Elephas maximus indicus: one gene and its partner. The protein of the gene in region 2 purifies or fractionates together with the protein of the main gene of each other region. This does not show direct contact. Links are inferred from orthologs where the notes say so. Each region holds a gene or a part of one and is shown on either strand. Other genes may lie near its edges.

Region 1 (3,748 bases), on a different chromosome or scaffold from region 2:
TTTATAAAGCACTGAACAGTCATAACAGCACTGAAAAGATGAAGTCATGAAACCAGTTGTCTAGATGCAATCACCAATCTCTGTATTTACAAAGCACTGGACGGCCACAGATAACTGTTTCTAAACAACGAAGCTTTCTGTAGGACGTGCGCATCATCCCTATTGACGAAAAGTAGTTCCAGATTTTGGCAAGTGAAGAGGTCCGCCCAAAGTCAAAAGAACTGGAACTTGCACTTTCTCAAATCGGTGCCTCTTTCCATAACATCGCATTGGTGCAGTGTTGGTGCTGGGGTGGGGGCTTGGAACCGCTGGGGGTCAATCCAGGGAGGACTGTCTGACGAGAGGCCCATGAGGGTAACTGGAACACCGCTATGTCCAACTTCTTTCCACTCTCCAGCTTCATCTCCACTTGGCCCTGCACCTCCAACAAATGCTCTCTGCAGCTATCATTCAGAACTACTAGCAGCACTCCAAAGGGGTCCAGTCATCCCAGCCTTTGCACCTTGTATATGCAATTCCCTCTACCTCAAATGGTCCCCACCCACTTCTTTTAGCCTACTTCCATTCGACTTCTGTAACTCAGCTCAAATGATACCTCTTCTAGGAGTTGACCTCCTTATCAAATGGCTCAGCTGACCCCTTCCCTAAACTTAGGTACTGGGGTGGTGAGCTAGGGGCCAATGCAAGAAGTACATCTCATGTGACTCAGCTTCTCCTCGCACCTGACACATAGTAGGCGCTCAGTAAGTGTTTGTGGACTAAACGAATGAACACACCAAGTCACAGGAGCAACCGAGTCAGGCTTCCCGGGACAGAGAACTTCAGACGACTCAAGTGGAAACCATCTCTCACCACATCCACTCAGGCACTCAGATTCCTTCCCCAGCCCAGCTCCTCCAGGAGAAGGCCATGAGAACATCATGCAAACCAAAGTACTGTCACAGAATTGTGACCTGTGCTAGGTTTTTGTGTTTTGCTTTGCTGTTTTCATCTTAACTGGAAAACCTTCAGGTCCATTTGGAGTCATTTCAGATTGTGTACCTAGGAGGCAAAGTGACAGTCACAGTTCTGGAGTATTTCCCAGGGGTCACACAGCATAACAATGAAAAATGCAGGCTTTGAAGTCTGGGTTTGAATGTGCCGCTTGCCAACTGGGTAACTCTGGGCTAGTCACCCTACACTGCTTCCTAACAGTGCATAGTCACTGGGTGCTTATGGCCAGCATTCATTCCAAAAACACCTATTCAGTACCTACTGTGGGCCAGGTGCTGGTGATATAGTGGTGCCTGGCTGTTCAATCTAAAGTGTCCCTCCAACAGGTCAGCCCGTTTTATTTCCTTCACAGCACTTAACATAATCCACAATGATCCTGTGAGTTTGTTTGCTGGTGTGTTTGTCTCCCTTAGTTAGAATGTAAGCTCTCTGAGAGCAGGGACCTTGTCCATCTTGTTTACCGCTGTCTCCCAGTGCCAAGCACACGCCCACCACACCATTAAAAGCTCAACACATGCGGAAAGAATCTATGAGCAAGTCAGACAAGGTGCCTGTTGTCTCACGTGCTTGTATTCTGGTGGCGAAAACAGTCCAAAAAAAGCTAAGAAATGTAAAGGTACAAGTGAGCAAGACGAAAGTTGCACCTAGGAACCGAGGCTCTGGCTCGCCACAAACTCACGTGCTACTCAGCTCCATCTCCAGGCAGCCTTGGGGAGAAATCGGATCCAACCATTCTGTCAGCACTGCCCCAGCTGCAGGACATAAGCGAGCAAAAAGACACTAGAAAGAAAGTTGGGCCATGTCCTATCACAACTCCTGCGGAAGTTCCTTTCATTCATTTGCTCAGCATGCGACTGGCCGCCTAACGAGTGCACAGGGGATGAATGACAAATCCTGTCCTCATGGAGTTTCCCTTCTAGCATTGAAGACAGAAAACAAGTTAGTTAGCGGGCAGTTTGGATGGTGACCAGTGCCTTGCAGACCACAGAACAGAGAGCTGGGTCACCAGCTGGGGACATCCGGGCTGAGACCTAGGAGGTCAATCTCGTGAAGAGTGCTTACACTCCAGAGCAGACCACAAACTAAACTAGGCGATAACAGTGACAATGACAACTGTGACAAGTGCCTCGAAGGCGAGGCGCCCCGAGAGGCCGGGGCGGCAAAGCAGCCTGGGCCCCCGCGCGCGGCCTCTCCGGCCCAGGCGGCTCCTGACAGCTGTGGGGGCGCCGGGCCTGCACCCCCAGAACTGGGGTGGGGCCGCGCAGCCCACGCGGGGCGCCGGCCGGGCCTGGCCGGAACATGGCGGCCGGCCCGGGGGCCTTCGCGGCTTACCTCGGAATTTGAGCTCGTGCTGTGGCTCGAGGCTCAGGACCTGCTCCACCTTCGCCATGTTCCTCGGCGGCGCGGCACCTTTGGTGGGGAGACCCCTGAGAAGTCAACTGAGGCGGGAAGCGTTAATGCTGCGCCCCCTTTAAATTAAAAAAAAAAAAAAAAAAACAGGCCAGCGGGGCGCTGGCGGGGGTCGCGACGGGGTGCGTGGGGGCGGGGGCGACCTACGCGGTGCAGGCGCAGGGGCAGAGGGCGAGGGCGAGGCCGCGGTGCCCGGCGAGCTGACGGCACGCACGCACGCACGCACGCACGCAGCGACGCACGCACGCGGCGGGAAGCGGCACCCTGCGCCGGCTCCAGGGGCGGGAGAGGGAGGCTGCGGGCGGAGCCCTCCCCTACAGCAGTGCGCAGGCGCAGGGGGGCGGGGCTGCCATGCAGCAAGGGGCGGGGCTTCGTGCAGCCCTGGAGGCGGGGCCGCTCCGGGCTGCCCAGAAATAATGACAGTCTGGGTGAAGACTATTCATTTTTTAAGGGCCTTTTGGGGGCCGGCTGTTGCGTTAAGTGCTCTATTCAATAATGATAATTAATAAGGATAAACTCCACTTTTCCCTTGCCTATTTAGTGCCAGGCACTGTTAAAGGCTTTGAGCAATAATGAAAGTACTATTTATTCATCTTATTATTATAAACATGATGTTTATGAGTGAATGATACGTGCTAGGCGCTGTAACGTATCGTAACTAATAATTATAAATATAATAAACGACCAATTATTGCTTGCTTATTTTGTGCCAGACAGCTGAATGCTTTCAGTAATAACAGCCACTATAATAAATAAAAGCTTTTATACACTGAATGTTTATGATGTCCCAAGCACTGTGCTGTATCTTTGCTAATAGACGCTATTTATGCAACAAATATTTAGAGATACAAAGGTCAGGAAAGTTGACGTAGTTCCTACCCTCTTGCTTCATAGTACAGCCTAGTGGAGCGACGTCCTTTCATTAAATAACCATACACGTAAATATAGGTTTAAAAATTGCTGGGATCAGCTTGACCTCAAAGTGGAACATTCTGCATCATTATTGCCATCGAACTTGTATTTTATTACAGAATGTTTGCTACATAAAATGTGTGTTCTTATTACTGTCTTATACATTCAGAAGAAAGACCTGGCAATCTACTTCTGAAAAATCAGCCACTGAAAACTCTGTGGAGCATGGTTCTCTGACACACATGGTGTCACTGTGAGTCGGAGTCGATTCACAGCAAGTGGTGTCTGGTACACACACACATAGAAGAAGCTGGTTGAACCTACACGGCAGGTACATGGGTGTTGTTTGTACTATTCTTCCTACTTTTTTGTATGCTTGAAATTTTTCATAATGAATTTGTTTGTTTTGTTTTTTTAAAGATAATCTTCATCT
Region 2 (3,748 bases):
ATGAGTCGGAATCGACTCGACCGCACTGGGGTTTTTGGGGAAGACAACATGAAGCCGTGAAATCCACAAACTGACACTGTAGTTTTTATCCGTAGAGCTCAACATACTCAGTATTTGGGCAGGTTAGAATTAAAATTAGAAAGCCGGGTCCCAACACACTTTACTTTTCACCCAGCATCAAAGGATCCAAGTCCTTGAGAACTTGTATTATCCCACTGGGGAAGAAGTGACTATCAATTCTATCAAAATGACTCATCCAGTTTAGATAAATTAAATAGCTCCAAGTTCTGGATACTTACAAAGTAAGCACTGTGTGAAGTTAATAAATTTGCTAATTCCAAGAAAGGAAGGAGAAAGGAATGTTGGAGTACTCTCTTTGTGCCAGGCACTGGACTAGGCAATTCACACAGCTCCGGATGTAATTGTCATTCAAAATTAAACTTATTTTACTCAACGTAAAGGAACAATATCTATGTTGCTCTAAACTGATTACAACAAGTAAACTGTTGTTTCCTCCTCTCCCTCCATCTCACATACATACACACAAAAGTCAATCATTTAACCTGAATTAACAGTTCATTACTTTTGAGAGTTTTGGAAACCACAAAAACAAAATTTAATTTGAAGGCAGCAACACTGAAACCAAATGTATTTTCTATCCTCTACCATCTCGCCATGAACTTGTCTGATGTTGAACCTGAAGGAGATTCAGTGTCATCTCAAGGGTGGCGAAAGTGATCTCAAAATCACCCAAAAATCCAACATAATATGAAGGTTGGTGGCTACACACACATCTGTAATCTACCAATGCACATTTATGACCGCTTTGATAATTTTTCTTGGTCTAGATTATGTCACATACATTAGATTTTAGAACCTACTTCTAGAATGTAGGGACAACTTTATTTGCATCAAACAGGGTCTTTTCTTCCGCAAGGAAGCAGGAGAATTGAAGGCAGGTGAACTCCTGGAACCATATTAGTGCCTTACGTTAAAATACAAATTTTTCCAATTCTCAAGCTCTTACAGCATGAAAATATATTTCATTGCCTCTAGTACCACACAAGTCCATATAAAAGTTCAGCGAAATCGCTTTCAACATTATTTCAACTTTGAAAAGTGAAAGAGTGGGTTACCAGAAATCCTAGTCAAGCGAAGCATTCCAACTACTGTACTTCCTACTCAGGGTCTCTCATGTTAATCAAAAGTAAACTAAAACATCTTGCAGAATTAGATAAAGAGCACAAAGCTGTGGCTCTCCTACCAACCACCAGATTACTCAGCACTTGTTTGTTTGTCTGTAGTCGGTTGTGTACATTTTCCGGCTACCCATATAGACCGCATTCTTCCTAACGATAAGGACCTTGTCTTCGATTTCCTTTGCCTCACGGTAAGGTACTATTTTAATAACACACTGCTGATCTAGAGTACATCAGCTGGAGGACTTTACTAAGTAAATACCCAACCTTTCCTCCACTCCTTTTCTTCCTCTGCAAGGAAAAGAGGACAGCAAATAGGGGAGAGTTACAGCTACCTCTGAAACGAATAGGTAAGTCAGCCGTAAAAGGAAGGAAAAAAAAAAAATGTGAAGCGCAATTACTCCTGCTACTGCCCCTTTAATCTATGGTCTCCGAGGCCAAAACGGACGTTTGAAAGGTAAACCCCAAACCCTGCAAATACAAATCGCTGGCTCTCAAGCACGTCAGCTGTCTCACCTCGCAAAAAGCAGGGCAAGCCAAGAAAAGGGCTCCGAGTGAGCCCCTGGGGCCGTTCATCAGGGAGAGGAGGGAGGGCGCGGTTACTCAGGTGGGTAACTCCCCCTCCCCTGCATCACCCTCCCTAAGGAGCCCCACGTCTGAGGTCTGAAGTGCCGGAGTGTGATTGTGGGAAGCAGCGGGACCTGAGAGAGATATGAGGCACAGAAGCAGCCAGGAAACGGGGATGCTCGGCTTCTGAGCCGTAACTCCAATCACTTACGTTAAGGGGTAGCCGCCCCCTAGGTGCACATCTTCAGGGGCATCGTAGAATTCCTCGGTGTCGCTCTCCGACGCCATTTATAGGACACACCCGCGGGTGAGGGGGCCGGCGCCGCCTGAAGAGAGGGTGACTCTCGTCTCCTCCTTGCCGTCCTCCACCCCGGCGAGACTGGGGAGGTGGGTCCCGGGCAAGGATGAGAAGGGAGCAGAAAATCTGGAGTGAAGAGTCGGTTAGGGACAGAGGGCCGCCCTCAGCTGCCGGGCTGCGGGAATGACCCGGAGAGCGTCCGCCTGAGGAGGCGGCGGTGGTCCGGGGACTACTGCTGCCGCCGCCGCCGCCGCCGCTCCTGGCGCTAGGTGTACAAGGAGAACGAAAGAAGAGGCGGTGGCTCTTCTCCGTGGGGGAGGGCGGGCGCGCCGGCGACAGCAGCTCCAATTTCTCCCGCAGCCGCAATTACAGCAGCTGGGAGAGCTGGTTGTCCGCAAAACACCGACGCGCACCTACCATCGCGAGATTTCGGGAGGTGGACGGTAAGGCGTGGGCGTGGCGAAGAGGAGGCGGGGGCAGTTCTGAGAGGCAACGCTCGGATTACTTTTGCCCCAGAAGCCTATCAAAACGGCCCAAGCGCGTTGAGGGCGTTCGGAGGGGCCGGAAGTAGCCCGGAAGGGAGGTGGTGAGCCTCAATAAGGGAGGAGTCTAGAACTTGCGCAGGAGCAACGTGGTGCCCGGGTTCTGAGGGCGTGTGCACCGATGTTGGTAGGGCTTTGCGGAGTTGCTTTACGTACTTACTCAGCAGTTCCAAAGGGAGGCATTTCAAGAGGGATGATTTTGAGTCTGTTTTTAAAATTTCTCTTATATATGAGGAAATGTTGTCGTGGCCTTTTTGGTTTGCATTTACATTGTCTTAATTCAAGCCCGGAAGATCCCACCTTGGGGCGTAGGCAGGGCCACCACCTCTTGCGTTACGTGAATATCTCGCTGGAAACCCTGGTGGTGTAGTGGTTAAGTCGGCAGTTTGAATCCACCAGGCGCTTCTTGGGAACTCTATGGGGCAGTTCTGCTCTGTCCTATAGGGTCTCTATGAGTCGGAACGGACTCGACGGCAACGAGTTTTGGTGGTATCTACTACAAGATCTCTAACTGAGATCCCTAGATACAGTCCTGCCGGCCAGAGGATAAGATTCATGAGAGACACGCGAGGAGTGTGCCCGTTCCACGGAGTTAGGATGAGTTTATTGCTGGAGCTGGGCCAGTATAGGAAACCCTGGTAGCATAGTGGTTGAGAACTATGGCTGCTAACCAAAAGGTTAGCGGTTCGGATCCACCAGGCACTCCTTGGGAACCGTATGGGGCATTTCTTCCCTGTCCTGTAGGGTCGCTATGAGTCTGACTCGACGGCAACGGGTTTGGCCAGTATAAGGCCTCCAGTTACTTTTTTTTCTACAAATATCTGTCGCTGCCCACACTTAATGTGAGAGAAATTTTTACATACGCCCAAGATGTGGGTCAGTCAAATGGTAACTAATGTACTGAGCAGAAAACAGTTGCAAGGCTAACACCTAGTTAACTTAATTGTGCTCCTCCACTGACCAATGTCCAGTGATGAAAATAAAAAGGTACTTTTTAAAAGACCAAGATGTTCTTTCTTAAACGGGGCATTGACTTTCAAAATGATTACATTAACTTTCCTTATGATCGTGAAGCACAATTATTTCTCCCACTGACATCACGGCTGTCAGCCACTTTGAGCGATTTGCGCAGCCTCAGCTGT

Evidence for each region. The genes of interacting proteins can lie anywhere in the genome.
Region 1: the proteins of WDR44 (region 2) and VAPB purify together in Homo sapiens (affinity purification with mass spectrometry; 4 studies listed by BioGRID and IntAct, counting the BioPlex papers as one, with this or other methods). This does not show direct contact. The link is inferred for Elephas maximus indicus from reciprocal best matches to the Homo sapiens genes WDR44 and VAPB.

The regions. Positions count from the first base shown.
Region 1 is NC_064843.1:10,890,945-10,894,692, forward strand, and holds the start of VAPB (vesicle-associated membrane protein-associated protein B/C), read right to left. Parts: upstream 2,616-3,748; 5' UTR 2,384-2,615; coding exon 2,326-2,383; intron 1-2,325. UniProt on the Homo sapiens protein: Endoplasmic reticulum (ER)-anchored protein that mediates the formation of contact sites between the ER and endosomes via interaction with FFAT motif-containing proteins such as STARD3 or WDR44.
Region 2 is NC_064846.1:38,685,234-38,688,981, forward strand, and holds the start of WDR44 (WD repeat-containing protein 44), read right to left. Parts: upstream 2,485-3,748; 5' UTR 2,055-2,484; coding exon 1,978-2,054; intron 1-1,977. UniProt on the Homo sapiens protein: Downstream effector for Rab11 which regulates Rab11 intracellular membrane trafficking functions such as endocytic recycling, intracellular ciliogenesis and protein export.